7 linked regions of the Rattus norvegicus genome follow. The protein of the gene in region 5 interacts with the protein of the main gene of each other region in a biochemical or structural test. Links are inferred from orthologs where the notes say so. Each region holds a gene or a part of one and is shown on either strand. Other genes may lie near its edges. The genes, in order: Ahr, Hif1a, Cdc37, Usp19, Hsp90aa1, St13 and Tert.

What was found.
Region 1: the proteins of Hsp90aa1 (region 5) and Ahr form a complex in vitro, tested with the Homo sapiens proteins (2 studies listed by BioGRID). The link is inferred for Rattus norvegicus from reciprocal best matches to the Homo sapiens genes HSP90AA1 and AHR.
Region 2: the proteins of Hsp90aa1 (region 5) and Hif1a form a complex in vitro, tested with the Homo sapiens proteins (4 studies listed by BioGRID and IntAct, with this or other methods). The link is inferred for Rattus norvegicus from reciprocal best matches to the Homo sapiens genes HSP90AA1 and HIF1A.
Region 3: the proteins of Hsp90aa1 (region 5) and Cdc37 form a complex in vitro, tested with the Homo sapiens proteins (3 studies listed by BioGRID, with this or other methods). The link is inferred for Rattus norvegicus from reciprocal best matches to the Homo sapiens genes HSP90AA1 and CDC37.
Region 4: the proteins of Hsp90aa1 (region 5) and Usp19 form a complex in vitro, tested with the Homo sapiens proteins (3 studies listed by BioGRID). The link is inferred for Rattus norvegicus from reciprocal best matches to the Homo sapiens genes HSP90AA1 and USP19.
Region 6: the proteins of Hsp90aa1 (region 5) and St13 form a complex in vitro, tested with the Homo sapiens proteins (2 studies listed by BioGRID). The link is inferred for Rattus norvegicus from reciprocal best matches to the Homo sapiens genes HSP90AA1 and ST13.
Region 7: the proteins of Hsp90aa1 (region 5) and Tert form a complex in vitro, tested with the Homo sapiens proteins (2 studies listed by BioGRID). The link is inferred for Rattus norvegicus from reciprocal best matches to the Homo sapiens genes HSP90AA1 and TERT.

What each region holds. Positions count from the first base shown.
Region 1 is NC_086024.1:57,988,902-57,992,401, forward strand, and holds part of Ahr (aryl hydrocarbon receptor), read right to left. Parts: intron 1,975-3,500; coding exon 1,787-1,974; intron 1-1,786. UniProt on the Homo sapiens protein: Ligand-activated transcription factor that enables cells to adapt to changing conditions by sensing compounds from the environment, diet, microbiome and cellular metabolism, and which plays important roles in development, immunity and cancer.
Region 2 is NC_086024.1:98,358,398-98,362,697, reverse strand, and holds the start of Hif1a (hypoxia-inducible factor 1-alpha), read right to left. Parts: upstream 2,801-4,300; 5' UTR 2,475-2,800; coding exon 2,440-2,474; intron 1-2,439.
Region 3 is NC_086026.1:27,964,131-27,968,317, reverse strand, and holds the start of Cdc37 (hsp90 co-chaperone Cdc37), read left to right. Parts: upstream 1-1,387; 5' UTR 1,388-1,497; coding exon 1,498-1,599; intron 1,600-4,187. UniProt on the Homo sapiens protein: Co-chaperone that binds to numerous kinases and promotes their interaction with the Hsp90 complex, resulting in stabilization and promotion of their activity. Inhibits HSP90AA1 ATPase activity.
Region 4 is NC_086026.1:118,072,227-118,075,726, forward strand, and holds part of Usp19 (ubiquitin carboxyl-terminal hydrolase 19), read left to right. Parts: intron 1-142; coding exon 143-359; intron 360-487; coding exon 488-644; intron 645-747; coding exon 748-819; intron 820-932; coding exon 933-1,048; intron 1,049-1,156; coding exon 1,157-1,377; intron 1,378-1,460; coding exon 1,461-1,656; intron 1,657-1,738; coding exon 1,739-1,872; intron 1,873-1,981; coding exon 1,982-2,140; intron 2,141-2,216; coding exon 2,217-2,327; intron 2,328-2,815; coding exon 2,816-2,926; intron 2,927-3,014; coding exon 3,015-3,116; intron 3,117-3,500. UniProt on the Homo sapiens protein: Deubiquitinating enzyme that regulates the degradation of various proteins by removing ubiquitin moieties, thereby preventing their proteasomal degradation. Stabilizes RNF123, which promotes CDKN1B degradation and contributes to cell proliferation.
Region 5 is NC_086024.1:135,526,341-135,530,598, forward strand, and holds the start of Hsp90aa1 (heat shock protein HSP 90-alpha), read right to left. Parts: upstream 2,801-4,258; 5' UTR 2,743-2,800; intron 2,160-2,742; coding exon 1,998-2,159; intron 1,900-1,997; coding exon 1,533-1,899; intron 1,167-1,532; coding exon 1,033-1,166; intron 806-1,032; coding exon 485-805; intron 334-484; coding exon 168-333; intron 20-167; coding exon 1-19. UniProt on the Homo sapiens protein: Molecular chaperone that promotes the maturation, structural maintenance and proper regulation of specific target proteins involved for instance in cell cycle control and signal transduction.
Region 6 is NC_086025.1:114,781,878-114,785,377, forward strand, and holds part of St13 (hsc70-interacting protein), read right to left. Parts: intron 2,195-3,500; coding exon 2,110-2,194; intron 2,002-2,109; coding exon 1,891-2,001; intron 1-1,890. UniProt on the Homo sapiens protein: One HIP oligomer binds the ATPase domains of at least two HSC70 molecules dependent on activation of the HSC70 ATPase by HSP40. Stabilizes the ADP state of HSC70 that has a high affinity for substrate protein.
Region 7 is NC_086019.1:31,468,334-31,471,111, forward strand, and holds part of Tert (telomerase reverse transcriptase), read right to left. Parts: coding exon 2,661-2,778; intron 957-2,660; coding exon 830-956; intron 429-829; coding exon 367-428; intron 1-366. UniProt on the Homo sapiens protein: Telomerase is a ribonucleoprotein enzyme essential for the replication of chromosome termini in most eukaryotes. Active in progenitor and cancer cells. Inactive, or very low activity, in normal somatic cells.

The sequences.
Region 1 (3,500 bases), about 78 Mb from region 5:
ATACACCACACGGAATTACTACTGTAGAACTCAGTGTACATCCTAAACCACACGGAATGACGGCTTTAGGAGTCAGTGCACACTACGAACTAAATTAAATCACTGCTGTGAGATTTCATGTACACTGCACACCACATGAAATCACGGTTCTAGGTGTCTGTGTGCCCTGACAGAATGCTATTGTTAAAAATTACACGTGGCAAGAAAATATACAACCATGCTCAACTCAAACACATCAACTCATACAAACATAAATCCAAGAGGAATGACTTTCTACACAGTCCTCTAAGACACAGAGATGAGCAGGGGCTGCCTGGTGACTCGGATGCTACCATTAGCATCATCTGAGTCTGCAGAAGGGGGAACTTCTGCATCTCACCATGATGCCTAGGTGCACAGCAGTTTGAGATCTTGGCATTAATCCATTTGCTACAATTTGTGAAGGAATACGATCCTTAATAATTAACTTTTGATTTATGGACTTAAAAAGAAAAAAAAATAAGGCACTTGGGAAATGGCTTAGCGAGGAAGATTCCTTGTTATTTAAGGAGGATGTCTTTAGTTCAAATCCCCAGAACTCATGTAAGAGATAATTAAGGAGTTATTTTGTATGACAAAATATGTCAGAACAGTAATTTCAAATAGGAACTCCGTTTTAGAGATTCCGTAGTGATCGATGCTGGAAATTCATATGTAATAAGCAGCACTCGGCCACACAGCCCCACAGCCACCCTCAGTGCGTTCACAGCTGAAGCACAGGGTGCTCCCCGGCACGACTAAAGTCACACGGTGGCACTGTGCAGAATGAAATCCAACACTGTCCAACCATATTCAAGTGTTCTTTCTGATCATAAACCATTTTAACCACATTTCCTTGATGCTAACATACATTAACATAAAGCTGTAGCAGTCCGTATAACTTTGAAAGACTCCATGAATTCCATACAGAAAGTACAGGAACAATACATTACTACTCCTATGAGGCAGCGTGGGCGGGCGGGTGTTAATTCGTGTGTGTCAGAGAGAGAGGGGAGAGGAGACAGGAGACAGGGGAGAGGAGGGAGAGACGGTAAGAGCACAGGGGGGCGGGAGGAATGTCAAAGAAAGAGCAGGTGTATGTGTATGTGCGTGCGTGACAGAGGGAGAGGAAGTGTATGTATGTGTATGTGAGAAAGAGACAGAGAAGGGGAAGAAGAGGGAGAAGGACAGTATATATGTATGTCAGAGAAGTGTGTGTGTGTGTGTGTGTGTGTGTGTGTGTCAGAGAGAGACAGAGTAAGGTTTTGTGTGTCCATCCCTATCATCCTGCCTCATTCCCACTGAACCCACAAAGCTGGCAGCCAGCAGGCCCAGAGCCCTGTCTCTATTTCCCACAGTGCTACCGTTAGAGTCAAGCCAGGCAACGCGTTAAGTGGGCACTGGAGATATGAACTCAGCTCTTCATGTTTACACACCAAATCCTCTCTTGTCCACTGAGCCAGCCCCACCCCCAATCACAGTACTTTATGATTTCTTTTTAAAAATGAAACCTGAGTATAACTTTTAAACACATGACTTATAAAGAATGTTACTATGTATCATCCAAATGGCTCTATTTGTCTGGTGAATGAGACAGGAGAGAGAGTTAATAACAGTTATACATTTAGCTTTGTCACTCCATTATTTTCTAAGACAAGAAAGACGTTTGCGCTCATGGACAGTTTTTTATTGTCACCAATATTAAGGACCATATTTGACATTAGCATACTGTGAGTTACTGCTATAAAAGTCAACCGTGCCGACATACCATCAAAGAAGCTCTTGGCCCTCAGGTAGCTGACGCTGAGCCTTAGAACGGAGAGTTTGTCCAGCTTACTAATAACATCTTGTGGGAAGGGCAGCAGGCTAGCCAGGCGGTCTAACTCTGTGTTCAGCCGGTCTCTGTGTCGTTTAGAAGGGTTCGACTTAATTCCTTCAGCAGGGACGGGCTTTACTCTGAAACACAAAGAAAAGCCTTTAGAAAACACAGAGCAAAAGTATCTATTACATTAAAACATCTGCTCAAGGGTTGCTCTACCCACGAAACACGAAGAGTTTCCCAATAAACCCCTCCACTACACTGCGAGCCAGCTTTTCTCACTAGCACAATTATGAAATAAGTGTCAGATAATAATACCACCAAAAATACAAAGAAATCTGTAACATTCATGCAAAAATATACTAAAACTGCTGAGTTGTACAATTGAAGCATTTTCATACCGAAAAAGCCTTTAAGTAAAAAAATCATTTTTAGGCAAATTTCACCTAGAAAAACTACTGGAAAACATGCGTTTGGATTTAGAAAGTATGATGTCTAGTCACTTGCCTAGTTAATCATTTACATATTGGTAATCACAGATTCTCAAATTTCTACTTCCTTGATTCTCCCTAAAGATTTTACTTAGTCTTCTCACGCAGACTAAGTAAGATTAACTATGCTGTTATTACAGGTACTTTTATGACCTCAATACAGAACCACTGATATTCTCTCTTTGATTGGATTTCAGACCTGCTCTATGAGATGGAGCCTGGACCTGACACCATGAATGAGCCCAAGAACCTGTGGCTAGATAGGACCCTAGGGGAAAACCTGTTACTATTATACTCTTAAATGGACATAGTAATAAAATGACTCCTAATGACTTATTGCTACACCCACAGATAAGTGCATTGCTCAACTCTCACCACAGAAGCTTCTTTCTGTAGGAGATAGCCATTAACAGACACACCCGCGACTGGCAAACATACAGCAAAAAGACGGAGAATAAGAAGTGTGTTCAACCCTGGTTGGGATGTTTATAACACATCCTTCCCCTCATGGCTCAGGGATCTATGTGAAAGAAGGGACATATCCTAAGAGCCAAAGACAGTGGATGACTTCAGGCATAACAGGGCAGGGGACTAACATCCCACAGAGACTGTGACAATGTGCACAAGTCCTAGGAAAGGTCAAGCCAGACAAAGCCCTAGCAAGGGAGGAGAGGAGGTCAACGTGAAATCTAACCTCTAGCTAAGAAGCTATTGTACTTGATAGCTGCTGGGAGAAAGAAAATCAAGTTTTCTACAGTGGAGTGACACGCACTCAGGAGTCTTGGCCAAAAAAGCTAGACGAGCCAAACACTAGGTGAGGCCAGGGGAACTCTGAAGAAAACCGGGAGGATTGTAGAAGCCAACGGGTCAAAGACACCATGAGAACACTAACCATGGAATCAATGAAGGACTCGCAGGGGCTCACAGAGACTGAAGCAACAAGCATGTGCCCTAGATGGGTCTGAGCTGGGACCTTTGCATATACTTTATGGTTGTGTAGCTTGCTGTTCTTGTGGGACTCCTAATAGTGAATGAGGGTGTCTCTGAGTCTTTTGTCTGCATTTGAGATCCTTTTCCTCCTACTGGGTTGTCTTGTTCAGCCTTGATAGGAGTGAGGGTTTGTGCCTAGTCTTATTGCAATTTCTTATGCCATATTGGGTTGATATCCTTGG
Region 2 (4,300 bases), about 37 Mb from region 5:
GAATATAAGAAAAAAAATGCATGAAGGCACAGAAGAAAGGTTTGAAGATTATGAAAGTCTGAACTATAACAGTTAACACCCATGTTCAAGTATATAATGTGTTACAAACCATGTGCTGGCCTAAGGTTTTTAAATGCATTATCTTATTTTCAGAAGGCTAGTATTATCCTCTTGGGAGGGGGGGTATATAATCCACAAGTATTCAGTAACTTGCCAACAATCACAAGTGGAAAGGCTTGGGACTCCAACTTGTGGTTATCTATCTGTATCCTCTATCTAAATCAGTAGACTACTGATTCCTCAAACAAGGAGGAAAGCTAAATTATAATAAAAATTTTATTAATAAACTTCTTGATTTTTAGTGACCAACGCTAAAAGGAGAAATTAAGAAACATCTTTAAGAGATTTTATTTTAGTGACCCAATAACTATTTGGGGGGAGGGATTTGAAAGTTCAGCTACAAGCTAGAAACAGAATGAGCTTGACATTCTCTTGAAATCTAAGAATCCATATACATATTAGGTCAATCAAGTTCAGTACCAACAGCTAAGGAGTCAGACACAGCACATACCGACTGTTAAATCTATTATTCACTTTCTGTTCTGCTTTCTTCCAAATCTTTGAGATTTGAGTTTTCTATACTCTCTATTAAAAAAGCAAAATTCTTTCCCACCTGTTCACTTTGGAGGCTCATTTAAGATGGACTAATTGGAGAAAGAAAAATTTTACCTCTCAATCTTTCAACAAAATTATGATTACAAAAAGACATACTTAATACATAGCACCTAAGTGTTGAGTGACCCATCACTCATGTTTATTATCTTTTAGTGATATTAAGAACCTCTATATTAAGAAATATAATCCCATCTGATCTAAAGCTGCTAACATCTCAAACAAGAAAAATTAAATTAACAGATGGTTCTGAGGAAAACCTAAAAACCATTTAGAACTGGACCCGATGCACAATTAACTTACTTATCCATTGTAAGACTACTTTTGATTAAATACACACACACACACATACACACACACAAACAGTGTATATGAAAGAGACATGATTGGTGTATTACTTGGTATAGTGTATTAATATAATATAATTCAGCATTTAATAAGGACAGTAAGTACACAATGGCAATCTGCCTAAGGTTTAGAGAATAGCAGCCCATCATTTCATCAAAAGCATTGTAGTCACTTCTGCGAAATTAATTGCAACTAATTCTGGTAACTCCTGGAGTTAAGTCTAGACTTGCATGCTCACTTTAAAACATTTTCAAAGTGCTTTCTTTGGTGCATCCAAGACCTGGACGTTCTATGGAATAAAGACCAAGGCAAGGAAGGGATGTACAGAAGAGCAAGAAAATGAGTACATTTATCTCTTCTGCGGATATGGATAAGGGGAATTAATCTCTTCCAGAAGACTGGAAGGACTTAAGAATTAAGCCAGCCTTGTAACCACAGCTCTTACAACAAACCTTCAACTTCTTAAACTGATTTTCTCAAGGTTAAAATATCGAAGTAGACAAAACTGTGTGCTGGCGGCAGGGATCGATCTTACCACTACTAGCTGCACTCGTAAGCCTATAATGTTCTCAGACTCAAACCACAGGATGTTTCATAAACTTACACTGAGTTCTCACACACGATTTCTCACTTCGGATGTATGTTTTTTTGGATACAATTCTTTGCAGGTGTTCCAATAAACTTGCAACATTCTAACTGCTGGTTTTCATTTGCTTTCATTATATACACCCCCCACCCCATCTCATTAAATTATCGGCCTAAGTTTAACCGAAACTATCGGTAAGTTATTTTCAGGAGTGAACGAGGCATACTCATATTCATACATAACGTCTGGGCTCTCCTGACAGGTGATGCAAACACAAGTTTGTAGGAACTGTAAGTTATTTAAAATGATGCCATTTTCCTAAATTCCCGTTACTCTGATGGTGGCAAGTGTTTCCAACAAAACCTGCACGTGCAAACTAGAAAGTTAGCATCTTCCGGCCCCCCGAAGAAACTCCCTAACCTACAAAGGCAGCGGCGGCCGCGGTACAACGAGGCGGCTCCGGGGAGCCCGGGGTCGGCCTCGGAGGGCCTCGACCCCAGGAAGCTGGCAGCGCGCACAGGGTCCGCCCGGGGCCCGGTGCTCGCGGCAAACGCGGAGGTCCGGGGCGGGAAGGCGCGGGAGCTAGGGGCGTACTCGGCCGGGGCCGGCTCGGCCGGATGAGCGCGCGGGGCAGGCTGGGCTGCGAAGGCGCGGGGCGGGTGTCCGGGGCGGAGACCCCAGCCCCGCCGAGCGCTGGGCCCGCGACTCCCACCCCCCGCGCCAAGATGGCGACGTGGACCGCGGGGGAGCCCGGCGCGTGAGGCTGGGGGGGGGACGGAAGGGGAGCAGAGACAAAAAAAGGCCAGCCCACAGAACGCGGCGGCCCGGCTTACTTTTTCTTCTCGTTCTCGCCGCCGGCGCCCTCCATGGCGAATCGGTGCCCGCGGTGTCTTCCCGGCCGGCAGCCCCTGGGCTCGCTCCGGCCTAAGCGCCGGCTCTGTCCTCACGCGCAGAGAAAGGGGCAAGTCCAGAGGCGGGGTGTGAGGCGGGACACCCCCCCGGGACGGCGAGGCGGGAGCTGCAGGCTGCGCTCGCCGGGCTCTGGTTCGGGTTCCTAGTTGCTCCTCCGGCTGGCTTGTCAAGGCCTGGCCAGACACTGCTCGCGACGGTAGCGAGGACAGTCCTCGCGTCCCCTCAGACGAGGAGCCTCTGTGCACTGAGGCGCTGAGGCAGCGGCAGGGGGCGGGCAAGGGCGGAGGCGCGCTCGGGCGCGCGGCGAGGGGAGGGGAGCAAAGGGCTGCGCGCGCCCGCTAAGCCCGACGCGCGCACCCGCGGGCCCGCCTCACCTGAGCGGAGGCGGGTTCCCCGAGAGCCAATGGGAAAGGACGCAGGCGGCCAGGCCCCACCCCAGCCCACGTTGCTCTCAGCCAATCAGGAGGAGGTCAGCTGAGCCCCAGCTGGGGCGAGCTGCCCAGCTCACGTGCTCGTCTGTGTGCAGCTAGGGAGAGAAGAGAAAGGGGCGACCGACGGGTGCGGCTGAGCCCAGGTCTGGGGACTCTGCGCCTTCAATGGAAAGCTGCGTCTGGCCTTGGGAGGCGCTGCTGGAGCAAGTGGGATGCTAAGCCTGTGTCCGAACGTGCTCACACTGCCCTGCTCTCTGTGGAGTTGTCTGAGGCTCGCTTACTCCTTAGTTGCGTGGTTGGACCGGGTCCCCGCCCATCCCTCCTGAGTTTCCAGTTGCAAAAACAGCCAACTTTGTGTTCTGGCAGCCAGCCCCCTGCTGTTAGAGTGGGGTCTCTCCTTCCCAGGTGACCGGACGAAGCTCAGTCTCTGCTCTCTGCCACAGAACAAGGGAAGTCTCCAAGTCATTAACGATTTTCTGGGCCAAAGTTTGACTACTGAGCAAATGCAAATAAAAATATAAAACAAATCCCTCTTGCAAAACCTCTCAAGGCGAGTGAAGTTGCAGGGCCATTTTAAAATAAACTATCTTAATTTACACATAAATAACAGCTTCAATAAGTGAGAGCACAAGCCTGAATTTGAGTGACAAGGCAGGAAAAAGCATTGAGTAGACTTATTTTGCTATTATGTTGCTTTGAAAAAAAAAAGACAAAGATAATCTTAAATAGATGCAGAAAAGGTGCAAGAATTGTTTCAGACTGAGTTTATTAAAGTTCACTGTTTAGACTGAAAGAAGGAAGAATGCATCCTCCAACCTACAGACCTTGACAGGACTGCTCACCGGCTGTGCTGGGAACTATGGATTAAAGCAATCACTTTTGGTCGGTCTTTGGAAGCATGAATGTTAGGTCTGTGGGTATGATGTTTGTTAGTTTTTTTTTTTTTAATTTTAATGTATTCCAAGCCCAACAAAGGAACACTGCATGCACCTGCGTGTGCACACACACATGTACACACACACACGCACACACACACACACACGTGTTGGAGATCTGAATCTGAGGTCTCTGAAACTGACCTGACACTTGACTGTTTAATAGCTCTTCTTTGCCTTGTTAGTACATCGTTACAATCTAACGTTGGGTTGTATAATAATGTAGACATCTGTGGCAGATTTAAATTGCATTCAAATCCAAAAACAACGCCCCCCAATAAATACAAATGGTGTCCAGGTCTAATAAGACAATAAACAATGTATAAAGCCTCTCAATAGACCCATGAAGACACAGCTGGAGATTTAGCTTAGTCAGTCGGAGAGCAGTGGTCTAGTATGCACAAGGTCCTGGCTTC
Region 3 (4,187 bases), on a different chromosome or scaffold from region 5:
CTTATTTATTTTTTATTTTACGTGTATTGTGTCTGCATATATACCTGTGTGAGAGTGTCAGATCTCCTGGAGCTGGAGTTACAGACAGATATGAGTTGCTATATGGATACTGGAAATTGAACCAGAGTCCTTTGAAAAAGCAGCCAGTGCTCTTAACTGTTGAGCCATCACTTCAGCACCTAAGATGTAATTTAATTAAATATTTATTTGTTTATTTATTTATTTAGCTAGCCAGGTGGTCCTGCTGTATGCCTTTAGTCCCAGCACTTAATCTTCGGAGAATGAGGCAGTCACAGCTCTGAGTTCAAGGCTATTCTCCTCTATAGAGTGAGTTTGAGGAAAGTCAAGGCTACATAGAGTAACTCTGTCTCAAAACAAACAAACAAACAAACAAATAAATATTTTTTTAAAAATTAAGGGCAGGGCTGGAGAGATGGCTCAGTGGTTAAGAGCACCGACAGCTCTTCCAGAGGTCCTGAGTTCAAATCCCAGCAACCACATGGTGGCTCACAACCATCTGGAATGGGATCTGATGCCCTCTTCTGGTGTGTCTGAAGGCAGCTACAGTGTACTTATATAAATAAATAAATCTTTAAAAAAAAATTAAGGGCAGGTCTGGTGTAGTGGTGCACACCTTTAACCCCAGCATTGGGAAGCAGAAGTAGAAAGATCTGTTCATTTGAAGACAGCCTGGTCTACATAGTGAATTCCAGGACAGCCGGAGCTATACAGTGAGACCCTGTCTGGGGAAAAAAACTATTTAAGGGCAAACATCATTAAAAAAAACTATGCGTATTAATATTTTGCCTGCAAGTATATCTGTGTACCACATGCATGCTCGGTGTGGGTGAAGGCCAGAAGGGGGCGCAATATACCCTGAGATGGACTTACCAGATAGGTACGAGCCGCCATGTAGGTGAGGGAGGACCAGCCAGTTCTCCAAACCATTGAGCCATTTCTCCAGGCTCAATTTTGACTTATTTTTTTTTTAGAATGTTTGTTTGTGTAACAACCCTTACGGTCCTAGAAATCACTCTGTAGACCAGGCTGGCCTGGATCCGCCAGATTGCGTCCCCACTGCCCAGCCAATTTTGACTTTTTGACAGTCTCAATATGTACCCTGGCTGGACTAGAACTTGTAGAGAGCCACCTGTTTTCGCCCCTAGCATACTTGGATTACCGTGGGCCACCACGCCCAACAAGACTAACCTTTTGTCTCTAAAGGATGTTCAGTCTGGTTTCGGCGGGAACTTCCAGAAGGCCGCACCACGTACTCCTGGCCCTTTAAAGATGACCTCCGGTTGCCAATGCCGCCGACTCCCGTTGCTAAGGACGAACGTCATGCGCCGACGCTGGGGCGGGGCCGTCGTGCGCGGCGCCCTGGGCGGAAGCGGAAGGGGCGGGGCGGGGCGAGCGGACTCTCTAGCCCTTGTGGGTCCCTGTTCAGCGCCCGGCCGTGTGGAGACCCGGGAGCCAGTCCGGGCCTCCGAGGCGAAGATGGTGGACTACAGCGTTTGGGATCACATCGAGGTGTCGGACGATGAGGACGAGACGCACCCCAACATAGACACGGCCAGCCTGTTCCGCTGGCGGCACCAGGTGGGGCTGTGCGCGCTCATCCCCTTCCCCCCACTCCCGGGACCCCCCGCTCTAGAGTTCTGACCTCTTAGCCAGGCCGCCTGGCGTGGGGGGCGGGGGAGACCTCAGTTCTTGACATCCAGAGCCTCCTGTTCCACAATCTAGACTTTCCCCCTTTCTTTTCTTTCTTCTTTTTTTAAAAACAAAATCTCACTGGGTAGTCTTGCCTGGCCTGGAACTTGCTATATAGAAGAGGCTGGTTTCTAACTCACGGAGATCCTCTTGCCTCTGCCTTCCCAGTGCTGAGGTTAAAGACATGTGCCATCATGCTGGGCTGGACCTTTTAATCCCAGGACTCCTGGATTCTTCATTCTAATTCTTCATCTGTATCTCCGGGCTTTCTCTCTGTGCTGTGGATCTCTTCTGTTTGTACGTTTACTTATTGTGTGTGTGTTCTTGTGTGCACGTGGCACAGCATGCAAAGGAAGATTACAGGATAACTTGCAGAAGTTGGGCCTCTCTTTTCACTTCGTTGGAACTGGGTGTGGAACTCAGGTCACCCCGAGTTGCCACAAGCACCTGTACACTGAGTCATTTTATCAGCTCTTAATACTCTTTAGTCAGAGTCTAGACCCCACCCCACCTCCGAAGCTGACCCATGTGTGTAGGGTCCCCATCATCCTTTGTGGAACCTTTTGTTCTCAGAATTCTTCCTCAGAGTCTGGACCCAGGTTTTGTTAGGTGATCTCATATCCCAGCCATGCACCCACTTCTGATTGCACATCTCCGTTCTGCCTCTCCCCACCCCCTAGAGTCTGGATCCATAAAACTTCGTTCTGATTGTGGCATCTACTTCCCAGGATCTTAGGCACGAATTTCCATTAAGGCCCAGAGACAACCCCCCGAACCCCCAACCCCCTAACTTCCAAACTAAATGAGGGCTGTGCCCTGCTCTTAATTTAATGGTCAATCTTAGTTTGCAGCTGGGATTCCCAGTCCAGGATCGATTTCCCTGGGTTATAGACCAGAGCTACACTTGGGACTTCAGTGTTAGAGCCCCCTTAGCCTCTCTATTTGACCCCCAGCTCCACTCTTGCCCATCATCCAATTCTAGTGGCTTTCCTTATTTTCACCTCCTGTAGATTCTTATTTCCCCTTACTCCAGGAAACCCCACCCACTTAACTTCCGGTCAGAACCTCTGCTCCTAGTAGTATAGTAAGTAGACCCCCATTCTGCCCACATTGGCTCCTGTATGATTTGTAGCCATCATTGAATACTCACCAAACCGGATGGTGATGACACATACTTTTAATCCCAGCTCTCAGGAAGCAGAGGCAGGCGGGCCTGTGAATTCAAGGCCAGCCTGGTCTACAGAGAGTTCCAGCACAGCTAAATAGGGGTACTCTGTTTGGAGGCATGGAGTCCAGTGGCAGGATAGGACAGAGAAAGAAAGTGGGGGAGGGGAGAAAAGGGGGAAAGGAGAAGGAAAAGACAGCTCACCCAATCCCAACCCAGAAAACCAAACCCTTCCTGTCCTACCTGCCCTTCCTCTCCAGTTTCATTGGCCTCTCGAGGGTTCATATCATTCTATTTAACTCTGCACCTCCTGGATCTTGTTCCAACATTACCTTACTTTCTGAGCATTGTAGCACACCTGTAAACTCAGGTCTTAGGAGGTGGAGGTAGAAGGATCTGGAATTCAGAGTTAATCCTTGCTATAGGGCAAATTCTAGGCTATCCTGGACTACGTGAGACCCTGTCTCAAAAACCAAATGGGCTGGAATTCAGTTGTAAGCATTGCCTTGGGCTCCATCTGGCTTAAAAGCTAGCCATGGTGGGGCAGGCCCGTAGTCTCAGCACTGAGAAGATAGAAGCAGGAGGCTCAGAAGTTCAAAGTCATCAGCCACATAGTAAGTATGAGGCTGGCACGGGCTCAGGGAATCCTGTCGATCACTAGGCAGATAAAATAAAGTCCTACACAGTTTTAAATCTGCCCATAACAGATGCCTTAGACTGAGACCGTCAGATCCCCAAGTGTGAGCAAGCCATGCTCTTCCGCCTCTCTTGTGCCAGCATTGCCTGCAGGCCCATAGTGTACTACCTAGATGTAAGGGTGGTCTGAAGATGTAGTTGAGTGGTAGAGCACTCTCTAGCATGCAGGAGGTCCTGGGTTCCATCTCTAGCACAGCAGTAAAGAGACAGTGGCCTAACCTGCCCCCCAAATTAAAGCATCTGTACCCACATACCTGTGTGTCTTTACTCTGTCTAGGTTACATTGTATTTGTGTATGTTCATGCTCATGTATGTGTAAATGTGCCACGCTACCCTGTCACAGTCAGAGGATAACTTGCTGGAATCCGTTCTCTCCACCCACGTGGGCTCGGGATCAAACTCAGGCCGTCAGGGTTGGTAGCAGGCCTTCACCCACTGAGCTCTCTCATCAGCCCTGTGCTTGTTACACTCCCAGGCTGCTGGCAGGTACTCTGCAGTTAGCATTCCACCTTCCTGAGGAAAGCTTCTCCTCTTTACTCCTCGAAAGTCCTTCCCTATCCTCCCCAAATCCAGCAGTCAGCTCTAGTCCCACCTACACACCTATTCCTTCCAGTTT
Region 4 (3,500 bases), on a different chromosome or scaffold from region 5:
TTAGATGCTTGTTGTCCTGTTTGGATATTTAGAGATTGGGAAGGAATGTGGACCAGAGTGGGTACAACTTGCTAGACTCATAGCTAATCTCTCTCTCTCTCTTTGTGTGTGTTTGCATGTTTGCATGTTTGTGTGTGTTTAGGTTGAGGCTGAGGAGCAGCTCCATGTTCCACCAGTGAACCCTCAAACAAGTCTCTTGGGCTCAGAGAAGAATTTAGCCCTTTTGACAGTAGAGAAGACAGTGTCCCCCAGGAGTGACTCAGTCTCCCCAGTCATGATCCGGAACAGAGACCCTGAGAAAGATGACCATTTCAAAGAGGAGATGGCAGTTGGAGCTGATCCTGCAGCCTTAGCGGATGGTAACATGGGGACTGGGAAGGCAGGCCCCCAGGTTGGGTCACAGGGTTGATGGGTGGGTAGGGAGTAGTATAGTAACAGGCTGGAATTTGTCTTGGGTTGATGGTACTGAGCCATGGTCTCAACATAGAACCAGAGTCTATGGTGAACCTGGCATTTGTCAAGAATGATTCGTATGAGAAGGGGCCGGATTCAGTGGTGGTGCACGTGTATGTGAAGGAGAGCCGCAGGGATACCTCTCGAGTACTTTTCCGAGAGCAGGACTTCACGCTGATCTTCCAGACCAGGTGTGTGGCTGAGGCTGGGACAGGTACAGCGGTGTGCCTCAGATGGGAGTGTGCTTCAAGCATTTTCCTTTGTTCTTCCTCCTTCCCTGCTCTGCCTCTGCAGGGATGGAAATTTTCTGAGGCTGCATCCGGGCTGTGGGCCCCACACCATCTTCCGCTGGCAGGTGAAGCTCAGGTGGGTGGTGCCCAGCCCTGTTACTGCTTGTCTCACTTGGGTTTCCATCTCTCTGGCTTGTTTAACCTCACCTGCTTCTCCTGAAATCTCTGAACTCAGCTTTTCCTTGACAGGAACTTGATTGAGCCAGAGCAATGTACGTTTTGTTTCACGGCCTCTCGGATCGATATCTGCCTCCGGAAGCGGCAGAGTCAGCGCTGGGGGGGACTGGAGGCCCCTGCTACACGAGGTCTGCACACGAGCTCCCTTCATTGCCTGAGCCCCACATGATTAGGACCCCCTACCACCACCTCACACGTGCTGCTAACCACCAGCCCTCTCATTCCCCCTTTTTAAGGTGCAGTGGGTGGTGCAAAGGTTGCCGTGCCGACAGGTCCAACCCCTTTGGATTCAACCCCTCCAGGAGGTGGCCCCCTCCCTCTGACTGGCCAGGAGGAAGCCAGGGCTGTAGAGAAGGAAAAACCCAAGGCTCGGTCAGAGGACTCGGGGCTGGATGGTGTGGTGGCTCGCACCCCCTTGGAGCATGTTACCCCAAAGCCAGAACCGCACTTGGCCTCGGTGAGAACCCTTGCTTGGGATGGGTCACGAATGAGGCTGGAGAGCACCAGGGCTCCTCTGTCATTTCTCCTTTCTTTGCACAGCCCAAACCCACATGTATGGTGCCTCCAATGCCTCATAGTCCAGTGAGTGGAGATAGTGTGGAGGAGGATGAAGAGGAAGAGAAGAAGGTTTGTCTCCCAGGCTTTACTGGCCTCGTCAACTTAGGGAACACCTGCTTCATGAATAGTGTCATTCAGTCTCTGTCCAACACTCGGGAGCTTCGTGACTTCTTCCACGGTAAGAAGGTCAGGGCCAGGAGACTGGGGCATAGGCAGAAATGGTACCTCTGTCTCTCACACCTCTACTCGGCTGTTCCTAGACCGATCCTTTGAGGCTGAGATTAACTACAATAACCCATTGGGGACTGGTGGGCGTCTGGCTATTGGCTTCGCTGTGCTGCTCCGGGCCCTGTGGAAGGGCACTCACCAAGCCTTTCAACCCTCCAAGCTAAAGGTGATTTGTGCTCACTCCCACCTTGTTTACAGAGGGATGAGAGGGCTAATAAGGTGTCCTGCGAATGAGTGCTAAGATTTCTCACTGACACTTTGGCCTCTTCATCTAGGCCATTGTAGCAAGCAAGGCCAGCCAGTTTACAGGCTACGCACAGCATGATGCCCAAGAGTTCATGGCTTTCTTGTTGGATGGGCTGCATGAAGACCTGAATCGGATCCAAAACAAACCCTACACAGAGACTGTGGACTCAGATGGGCGACCTGACGAGGTCGGTTGGGGGTTGTAGAAAGGGTTTTGTGTGTCCCAGTCCATAGTTCTCCTTAGTTCTCACTATCTTTCCTCAGGTGGTGGCTGAAGAAGCATGGCAGCGGCACAAGATGAGGAACGACTCATTCATTGTGGACCTGTTTCAGGGCCAGTACAAGTCAAAGCTGGTGTGCCCTGTGTGTGCCAAGGTACAGTGGACTCCCCTAGAGAGATGGCCTGTAGTTAGTTGGGCCGGTTTGGCCAGATACTTTGAAGCATGTGTGTTTTTAGAATGCTGGGCAAAATTTGGGGGAGGGAAGTGGGCAGAACCTAAAAGTGCCTTAGGGTCTCTGGTCAGAAGAAATCAGGCGAGGTCGGCTTCGTGACTGAGGTCAGGGGTGTTTGATGCACAGGTGTGGTACAGCAAGGATAAGTAAGGCATGGCATGCCAGTGTTGCCGGTACAGTTGGAAAGGCGCGTGAAGAGCAGGTGAAGGGAACCCTGGGGAAAAGGTTAAGCTGCCAGAAGAGGGGACTCCATCTCTCCTGGTGGGTCCCCTTCCTCAGTCTAGTGCTTTACCACTGAAGTTTGCTGATTGGCTGTGAGAACCCTGAGAGCCACCGGAGAGCCTGGCTTAGGTTCTCCAGGAATGAGCACCTTGACCCTTGTGACCCCCATGTCACCTCTGCATCCGCAGGTCTCCATCACTTTTGACCCGTTCCTTTATCTGCCGGTACCCTTGCCACAAAAGCAAAAGGTTCTCCCCATATATTATTTTGCCAGAGAGCCCCATAGCAAACCCATCAAGGTGAGTAACAATCCCCTCCCTCTGGCTGTCCTTAAAAATAGGACTTCTTATCCGTTCCCCCTTGCTGACTTGACCTTTATTGCCTAAGTTCCTGGTGAGCGTCAGCAAGGAGAACTCCAGCGCAAGCGAAGTTTTGGAGTCCCTCTCTCAGAGTGTCCACGTGAAGCCTGAGAGCCTGCGCCTGGCTGAGGTAGATCTTCCCTCCCAGGCTTCTGTGTGTGGCCATGTGTGATGGTGGGTTTGTTGTTGTTTGTTTTGTTTTTTTAACATTTTCAGTGTTCTGTCTGCTCATCTGTATGTGAGTTTGTAGTATGTTGTGTGCCTGGTGCTAGGAAAGTCTGTTGGACCCACCCCATGGAACTTGAGTTCTAGACGGTTGCAAGCTGCCATGTATTTGCTGGGGATAGGACTGACATCTTCTGGAAGAATGGCCAGTGCTCTTAATGCTGAGCCATTTTTCCAGTCCCACACGTGTCCTCTGTCTTTCCCTGTCTTCTCTGGATGAAGAGTTTGCTAGTAACCCTGGGGACAGAGGATCAGTGCATGACTCATGCTCACGCTTTGTCTCTCCGAT
Region 5 (4,258 bases):
ACCACCCCTCTGATGAAATCTGTGGAAGAAAAGAACAAGACACCTACCTTAATCATTCCGAAAACTAAGGAATCATTTTTGGCTGGTCGAGAGGACTGAGCCCAGGGCCTCAAACAAGTTATGCAAAACCCCTGCCAATAGTGCTTATTCTTTCTATCCGTACTTACTCAGATACTCGGGGATTAACTCCTCACAGTTATCCATGATAAAAACTCTGCGAACATACAACTTGATGTTGTTCTTTTTCTTTCTGTTTTCAAATAGATCAAAAGGAGCGCGTCTTGGGACAAAAAGAAGAGCCCGGAATTCTAATTGTCCTTCAACAGAAAAATGCTGCAATAAAATGAAATACCTTTAACTGCCATGGACAAAAATGAATCAACTTTTCCACTGAGCTATGTTACACTTAGAAGCACTTCTATAGGTTGAGTGGGTGTAAAGGTTAACGTTAAGTCAACCCGAAAACCTGCTTTAAGTCACTCACCTTTACTGCCAAATGTTCTTCCCAGTCGTTGGTTAAGCTCTTGTAGAACTCTCCGTATTCTTCATTCGTAATGTCATCAGGATTTCTGGTCCAGATCGGCTTTGTTTTGTTGAGTTCTTCTTGATCAATGTACTTTTCCTTTATCTTCTTCTTTTTCTTCTTGTCACCATCCTTCTTCTCTTCTTCTTCTTCATCAGAACCAACATCTTCTATTTCAGGCTTGTCATCAGACTCCTTTTCTTCTTTTTCTTTCTCTTCCTCTTTCTCTTCCTTTTCTTCAGCCTCATCATCACTGACTTCCTTGTCACGTTCCTTCTCCACCTTAAAAAAAAGTCACTTCATTACTGTGTCACAAATTATTTAAGATCTAAGAAATAAATGTCCATAATTAAGAAACTCATCAGTGTTTTCTATAATTTCTCAACAGTCCTCCAGAGCACAGACCCAAACTTGTTTCAAACAGGCTTATTATTTACAGAATGCTAAGACCATGCTCAGTTGTCTCAGTTATCATATCAATTTACCCTGCAGTTGAAAGAAAAACTTACAAAGAGAGTAATGGGGTAGCCAATAAACTGAGAATGTTTCTTCACAATTTCTTTTATTCTCCTTTCCTCCAAATACTCAGTTTGGTCTTCTTTTAGATGCAAGATAACCTTTGTTCCACGACCCATTGGTTCACCTGAAAAAGAAAAGGTTATGGACTATGAATTCAAATGGCTAATATTCAAAGTCTTCTCCCAGTGCTTGTTGGAGCGGAGATAAAAACGTGCAGTGTTTCCTAGCAGCTAACTTTCCACACAAATGCAGTCTCCAGAGCTTTAACTTCCTTGCTACTGAGCAAATAGCCATACGTTTTCCACATTTCCTCCAACCACCCAGTCCTTGAAGCTCCCTTGAGATTAACAATTTTGTTGGAGGGCTTAGGACTAAGACTATCCCAGACTGCTCCAAACTCTTCAATTCTCCCAGTTAACCCTCTTAAACACTTGACCTAAAATAACCAGACACCCACTGCACTCTGAATGCACTCCTGGCCTCTGCCTACCTGTGTCTGTCCTCACAGTGAAGGATCCTCCAGCTGAGGACTCCCAGGCGTACTGCTCGTCATCATTATGCTTGGTGATGACAGTCACTTTCTCAGCAACCAAATACGCAGAGTAAAAACCAACACCAAACTGGCCAATCATAGAGATATCTGCACCAGCCTGCAAAGCCTCCATGAAGGCTTTGGTGCCTGACTTGGCAATAGTGCCAAGGTTATTGATCAAGTCAGCCTTGGTCATTCCAATGCCAGTATCCACAATAGTGAGGGTTCGGTCTTGCTTGTTGGGAATGAGATTAATGTGCAGCTCCTTCCCCGAGTCCAGTTTACTAGGGTCGGTCAAGCTCTCGTATCTGATCTTATCCAGAGCCTATTAAGAGAAGACAAACGTCACGCACACAGACAAGCCTCAAGGTGAAATTTTTACTGAAACCAACATCCATTCAATTCTTCAAGTGATATACTCACGTCTGAGGAGTTGGAAATGAGCTCCCTCAGAAAGATCTCTTTGTTCGAGTAGAAAGTGTTGATGATCAAGGACATTAACTGGGCAATTTCTGCCTGAAAGGCAAAGGTTTCGACCTCCTCTTCCTCCATTGGTTGGTCTTGGGTCTGGGTTTCCTCAGGCATCTGGGAACACGGGACGGTGTTAAAGCCTCACAGAATGTCTGCAGGCGTCCTAATGCCTACCTACCCCTTTCCTATAGAAATTCCTTAGGAACTCTATTTCGGTCTGAGACGGGGACGGAATAGAAGAGGCCGAGGGGGGGGGTGGATGACAAAGGGATGACCTCATTTCAGAATGCGGTAATTACGAGGCGCATGTGCGCGCCTCCGGGAGGACGTTCGGACCCAAGCGGCTCCACGCACGCCGTTCCTAACGGCCACCCTCCCCCCACAAGCCGCCGCTATGGCGCCTCCCTCCTCCGCCCGCGCCTCAGGAGCACCGGCGAGAGCCGGGGAGGCCTAGGCAAAGGCCAGAGCCGAACGTTCGCCTCGCCCCCGACCCTCCGCCGCCGCTCCTCCTCGGCGGCCATCACCGCATCCTGGGCCTGGGGCGTAGCGGCCGCCTGGGGCCTAGGGTCTGAAGGCATGGCCGCCCACCTCTGCGGGCTGAGGGAGCTCGGATGGCGGCCCCGACCCCGCCGCCGCGTCTACATCCGTCAACCTCTCTCCCCAATCCCCCACTAAGCCCCTCTGCGAGGACACTCACCTTGGCAGAATGAGCACGCACGAAACGTGACTAACCGCACCGGGACACTGAAGCAACTGGCGCGCCGCCCCCCGCGCCTGCCTTATATAGAGGCGGGCCCGCCCAGCGCGCGGCGCTTTTTCCAGAAGCCTCCCGAACCTTCCGGAAGAACCCTCCCCAACCGTCGCCTCGGCCGCGCGCCTGCGCCTGCGCACTGGACGGGCCCCGCCCCTCCACCAGGAGCGCGCAGAACCCGCGCGGAGAACGAACGCGAGCCCCTCCTCCACAGCCAGGTGCTCTGGACATGCGCAGTCCGGGATTCTCGGCGGGCCTGGCGCCTTCCCGGGCCGCGCGCGCGCCGCCTCTCGTGGAGCGCGGACAAGGTGACCAGCGCATGCGCTAGAGGCCGCCATGTGAGCACTCTAGGGCTCCTCTTCTCGGGGGGTGGGGGTGGGGTCTGCGAAAGGGATGTTCCCATGTGAGGCTGCGTTGCTGTGTGAACCTCAGTGCCCTCTGCGGCGCGTTAGGTGTCTGAGGCGAGAAGATCCCCCTGTCTTCGGGCTCCCATTGGGGACGTAGACTCCCGGCGGGACGCGAGTCTGACTCCTGGCTTCCACCTGATGGGTGGGGCGTATCCCGAGCCCGGGTTCTGCTTGTTGCGCGGTCTGGCGCGTGGTACCACTGTCTGAATTTTAGGGCTGTCCCCTCTGGAGCCTGTCCTGAAGCCTTACTGTGGGTAGTACACGGTGGATCTTCCAAATCTGTCCATAGTGCTTGGGGGTTTCTCTTTGACCAAAACCCATGACCCTCAAACTTGGGCGTTGTTAGGGTTTTAGTGTCAAATTTGTGCTACCTTAACTTATTGTAATTACGGGGGCCCAGAAAGATGGCTTCATCCAGTAGAGGTGCTTGGGTTTGATATCTGCCACCCAGATAGCGGGGGTTGGGAGTGGGGAGCTAACCCTCAGCGCCTGTGACACTCATGTGCACACACACACACACACACTCGCACACACACTCGCACAATGTGAAAATAAGTGTAAAGGGCTAAAGAGTCAGCTAGGAGCAGTTAGTGATACCAAACTCGCACGTTAAGGCAGCTCACAAGCACCAGTAACTACAGTCAGAAAATACAGTCCCCTCTGGCCTCTGCGGCACCAGGAGCACACATGGTGCACAGACACACGCAGTCAAAACGCTCATACACAACACACTACCCTGGTTTTTGAGGCACCTTCTTAGGGTGTCATGACGTTACTTTGGGCGATTAACGTGACCCAAAAGATAGTTTCCTTGTTTAATACAGGCTTTAATAGACTTCCGTTTGGCTTCCATTTCCCTTTCCTTTATGTTACTCCCACCCACTATTTCCGCATCTTTTCCTGCTGACGAAAACGATCACTCATTAAGATTCGAAAGAAAAGGGCTGGAGAGATGGCTCAGTGGTTAAAGCATAGACTGGACCCAGGTTCAATTCCCAATGACCACGTGGCAGCTCAAAACGGTAATTCTAATCTCTGACACCCTCACGCAAACA
Region 6 (3,500 bases), on a different chromosome or scaffold from region 5:
GCCTGGTCTACAGAGTGAGTTCCAGACAGCCAGGGCTACACAGAGAAACCCTGTCTCGGTAACCCCTCAACCTCATCCAAAACAAAGAAAGAAAATGGTGTGGAGAATATGTACACCATGACATGGAATCCTGCCACCACCCAAGGTAAGTGTAATGAAAATGGTAGCACAAACCCTACACTCACACGTATAAAAACTAAAATCATCTTTCTAATATCTTGTTTTAGCCACATATTTTAAATGGGATACATTCTTAAGGACAATCCTGACAGCAAAGAAAACCTTCACAGTTTACTTGGAGGGTATGCTATGCTAACTGAAATACTATCACTTATCTGGTATGTTTCCAAAATTAAATAAGGATACAGTTAAAAGGCAAACAATTTTTAATTGAAAATCTTGGCATAAACTCAATTATAAGTTTTTCATTCAAATCATGAATGTATAAAGAAAGGTATTGTTCCTTGGTTGTGTTCACTGATATGACAGTAAAGAAGAAAAGAAGCAGAAAAGTATGCCCAACCACACAAATTTTAGTGTCCACAAAATGAACTATAGTTTCTTTAAAAAATAGCTTATTTGAAATCTGTAACCAGAAAGCAAAATGCCATCTGAAGACTAGTGACTGATTTCAAAGGAAGCAACAATATTGTGTGAGCTTTTTCTATAACCACACAGCAGCAATACATTTTACTTGAACCCTTTTTTAAAAAGATTTATTTATTTTATGTATATGAGTACGCTGTAGCTGTCTTCAGACACATAAGAGGGCATCGGATCCCATTATAGTTGGTTGTGAGCCACCATGTGGTTGCTGGGAACTGAACTCAGGATCTTTGGAAGAGCAGATAGTACTTTTAACCTCTGAGCCATCTCTCCAGCCCTTATTTGAACCTTTTACCTTTCTCTTTGACATGCCTTCATAAAAAGTCACTACTATGAGTCACCTAATACAGTTTTGTTAAAAACATCCATTCTTTTTTTTTTTTTTTTTTTTTTTGGTTCTATTTTTCAGAGCTGGGGACCGAACCCAGGGCCTTGCGCTTCCTAGGCAAGCGCTCTACCACTGAGCTAAATCCCCAACCCCAAAAACATCCATTCTTATTTCTACTCAAACTTCATCTATATCTTCTCAATCCACCTCAATCATTGGATTTCCCTAAGACAAACACGAAACAATAAGTTCCAACCCTATAGCGATTATTAGATTTTTTTAAACGTCCCAGTAATGAATAAAGGCACTTCAGGCTAGGGTATTCAGTATCTCTTCTTGTATTCTTTTGGGTAAAAGGAAACCAGGTTGTCTTGTATGTGCCTATGTGACTTGATAATGTTGAGTAGTTTTATGTGGAAGGGAGTAAAATCTTTTCATGTTCCTTTTCTTAATTCTTCATACTGAACCCATTACTTTGAAATAAAAGCACTTAGGTAAAATCTGAAAAAGGCATATTAAAATAGATTTTAAATTAAGTTTTGAAAAACCTCTTAAACTTGACTACTTTGTGCCTCTGTGTGTGTGTGTGTGTGTGTGTGTGTGTGTGTGTGTGTGTGTGTTTGTGTGTATACAGTCTCAAGAACCATTTCTCAGGTGCAGTCAATCAACCTGTTTCTGGATGCTGCCCTATAATTCACCATAGATGTTAGAAACTCACTGATCTGTTTCCAGCCTCCATAGCACCACCCCCAGCAATTGGTAATACATTAAGGCAGGGTTTTTCTCTGTTGTCTTGGGCTCTCTAGACTCCAGGCTGGTCTCAAACTAACAGAGATCTGCCTGTCCAACGCTGCTGGGATTAAAGGTGTGTGCCACCACTACCTGGCCATACCAGTGTTTTACTCCTGGGTTCTACCGGTCAAACTCAGCTTTCTCAGCAGTATTTGTTCATTTACCTGTGCGCTTTCCCTCTCCATTTGTATGGCTGAGCTGAATCAGGGTTTATTTCAATAGCTCTGTCACAGTCTCGGATGGCAGCATTTGGCTTCTGTAATTTGACGAAAACACTAAAAAATAAAATAAAATAAAAATAGTAATTATTAAGAAAAACTTCATTTCAAACAATAAAACCTTTGAGATTTATACAAAAGAAACGTGTACTTCAGTGTTCTTACCTGGCTCTCTTGGCATACAGAATGGCCAAGCGAGGGTTTAGCTTGATGGCGTCTGTGAACAAGTCAATGGCTTTCTGGAGCTCACCTGAAGTGAAATTAAACTTACTAAGAAACTGTCCAGAAGACAAAGATTTAATAAAATACTTTGACTTCTCTAATTAAGACTTATCACTTCTCAGTCTACTTCATAGGAGACATGGCGCAGTGACAGTGCTTCCCACCAAGCATGGTCAGTAGCCAGCATGTTAACATTTTTAAATAAAGGGCTAGAGAGGTTCCTCAGTGGGTAAAAGCACTGACTACTATTCCAGAAGTCCCAGGTCCACCTTCCAGCACCCATACACTGGCTCACAACCAACCATCTATAACCCAATGTCTATAACCCAAGTTCCAGCTCTTATGCCTTCTCGCCTCCATGGCAATAGGCATACAACAAGTACACGTTGGCAAAGTACCCATAAACATAAAAAATTTAAAAGTATTTAAAAAAAAAAGATAAAGCAATATGATGCACATCTGTAAACCAGCACCCAAGCAGCAAAAATCCGAGAACTGAACATTAGAGGCAATCCTCAGCCTAGGCTACACACACAATTAGTCCTAGGAAATCTGGACTATGGCCCCACCCCTAAAAACCACTTGGTAAGAGAATGAACTTCTGAAAGCTGTCCACGTACCTCTACACGTACACTGTGTGTGTACCCTACCACCAAGCAAAAGGTAAATAAACAAGAGCTGCGACAATAGCTAGGAATCTTATTTCTCTTACAGAATACCCAGTACCCACAAGGTAACTTACAACCATTTGTAACCAGTTCCAGGAGATCTGATGTTCTGTTCTGACCTACAAGGATCATACATGCATGCAGGCAAAAACACTCACACACTTAAGAAATAAACCTTTTAAAAATCTAAAACATAGCCAGGGAGTGGTGGCACACGGTGTTTTCTAGCACTTGTTGATAGGCAGAGGCAGGTGGATCTCTAAGTTTGAGGCCAGCCTAGTCTACAGAGTGAGTTCCAGGACAGCCAGAGCTACACATGGAAACCCTGCCTTGAAAAACTTAAAAACAAATGTAGATTGATGTTATGGGACTCAGTTTTACTTGACAGACTAAGCTTAAAGAGGATAAAGTGTCAAAACTAATTTCACAGGATATGAAAACTACAGTTTTCTCTTTTTGAGAAATACTGTTTAAAGGAACAAAAATAGAGACATTTAAGCCAATAAGAAATTAAGCTTCTTTCACAGTTACCATTATTTATCTGTCTCTCTCTGTGTTTGTATAAATGTATGTGAACATGTTAGAGAGTGCCCACAAAGGGCAGAAGATGATATTTGATCCCTTAGAGCTGGACTTATGTATGGGCTTCTGTGCGCTACTGAATAT
Region 7 (2,778 bases), on a different chromosome or scaffold from region 5:
TGGTGTAAGACTGGGTTCTCTGCTTTCTGGGACTCTGAATCTCCCTGCTCCCCTTTCCCATCCTATTTCTTCTGAGGGGCTTTCTTGGGGGCTTCTATGCCAACATCCCCTCCTGTCTCAAGACCATTCTGGTCAGCACACAAGGTTACATGTGCTCCCAGCACAGGCAGACCACAAGAGGTTCTTACCCTACAAATACGGGCCTGTGTGGAGACTCAACTAAATGCTGCTTTTTCCTGACCGCATTTCAGCATGCCACCCAATCTGGGGGAGCAAACAGCCTTGAGCTTGAGAGCCCCAGCAAACAGCATGACTGGCATTTCTGGCCTGTGCCTCCCTCTAGTGGCGGCACGGCCGCTGACTCACCTGTAGGCCTGAAGCAGGAAGATCTTGTATATATTGATGCAGACTGTCTGCAGGCTGTTCACCTGGAGTCAAGGGTAAGAGAAGCGTCAGCAATGTCCCCGAGATCACAAATGAATATTTTCTGTGTTGTCAAGTAGGATAAGAAAGCCACGTGTGGGGAAAACAGAAAATCGAGCCAGGCCCCCATGGGGAGGAAGCAGGAGAGAGCTGAGGCCTAAGACTCCAAAGCCAAGGTCAGGATCCAGGGAAGCTGGATGTCAGTACTGAAAAGTGACGGAGATGAGCACGGTAAGTGCTCAAGGCTCTTCGGTCTCTTCAGTGCACATCCACCTTCCTACGTGCTCCCCACATACACGGCTCACGCCTGTGCACACACATGCATATCCATGAACGTGTCCCCCCACACAGAAGAACAGGACCTATACTAAGATCCAACCGATGAGGTGGCTGCCTGTCTGCTTACCTGCAAGTCTAGAAACAGACCATGACACTTCAACCGCAAGACTGACAAGAGCTTGTACCGCATGGTCTTCCCGGCCCTGGAGACACCCTGGAAGGTGAGGCTCATCTTAATTGAGGTCCGTCCGTAACTGCGGCACAAAGGTATCCTGTGTGATAGCTGCACTAGCTCGTCCTGAGAAACCAGCACCACTGCCCTTCCTCCTCTCGTCTCTGCCACACGCCGCAGGCTTAGATGGGGTAGGACCTTCAGACATGGGGCCCATTCCAGCTTTTGGTACTTGCTTATAGCGCCACTAGAAGCCCTGGACAACCAAGCCCAACCATGTAGTGAACAACATCCATTTTATCTGAGCTTGGGATTACCAGACATCTTTGCTCACAGGTGGCAAAGAGAGCTGTGAAAATTCAGAAAGAACTGTGAATCTTACAGGAAGTCGCAAACCCTGTGCTTCTTTAAGTGGCTGCAGCCTGACAGAGCACCTTCCCAGCACAGGGCTATGACTGGAGTGGAGGATTGTCTCCAGCCAGATCTTGGTGACAGGAAACAGTAAGGGAGTGCCTACAGCGGTGTCAAACCACCTGCAGAGTTGGTCACTCTGGGACGACGGATGGACGCGTGCAGGACAGAATGATGGGGTGGTGCCTTCTTGTTGTCCAGTGACTTGGCATCATCCTCAAAGATGAATACAAGTGACGGGTATGGTTACCTCTGTCAGGTTTCTTACTTTTTGTGCATGTGTGAGGTGCATGCCTGTGCGTGTGGGTGGAGGAAGAGGTTTCCCACTCCGTGACACTCCACGGTGCTGTCAGCTCTCTTCACACTTTGCATGAAAGCTGTGGTTTGGGGAGAAGAAACTCCCATCACTGTGTTTTCCCTTTAGGATGTTGCTAGCCACTTTGGCTGACCTCCAGATGCATTGTCCCTGGCTCCGGCAGAAGGATACTGAGCTCGGCTGATGCACCCACACCAAAAGCTCAGGCTGAGCTCACAGCCACACTTAACATGGACTCTGGAAACAGGGCCCTTATGGTCTACATATGGTCGCTAATGGCCCCTGTCCAGGGCCCGCCTGGCTTCCTATAAGGGTGTGTGGTTTTCAGACTCTAGCAGTATGTTCAGAGGGGAATTCTTCTTCGATTGATTTACCCATGACTCTGTAACACTGAAGAGTACCAGGGGCTGGGGCAGGTACACTGGCGAGCTCAGCACTAGGCTGGGGCTGGGGCAACAAAGGTGGGTCTGGGAGGCAGAGGGTGGAGTCAAGAAATCTGAACTGAGTCCCATGGACTGAGGCTGAGGAGCCCAGGCCTGCGAGAGCACGGTACAGACGGCTTATCTGCACCCAACCCTTCCCTTAGAATGGGACCCTCCAAAGAACACAATGGAGATGGGGAGTCTGAGCATAGAATGGACAGCTGTCAAGATGGTGGGTTGCCAGGCTCCTGCCGTAATGTCAGAATCTTCATACTCTTCACTCATAAGAAGAAATGGTCCAACTCTTTTCACCTGTGCCTATCCCAAATCTGTCATATCTACATTGAGCTACAATCTGGGTTGTGAGCTCTTGGTAGGTGGAGACCAACACCCACCCCCTCCCCGCCCCTTATACTTCATATAGAGGAACATCTTGGCTCCATGGTCTGCAGGAGCCTTGGGACAAGGCTGAAGATGTTCTTATATTGGCCGTGACCATCTCCACAAAGGAGGGAAACACCTTTCGGCCTCTATCACTTCAGGCCTCACGGTCACTTGTGTCTAAAAGCAGGAAACAGAAAGTCGTAGCCACAGCACCGTCTGCTCCCATGACCTCATGACTCCCCTGTGTGCTTACCCTGAGTAGTCACAGAATACTTCCAAAGTCCGAGTGTCCAGCAGTAAGCCACACCAGGGAAACAGGCAGTGAGCAGGCAGCTGGTGCGGGGCTGCACCTCCCAGGGCGCCGGTCTCCA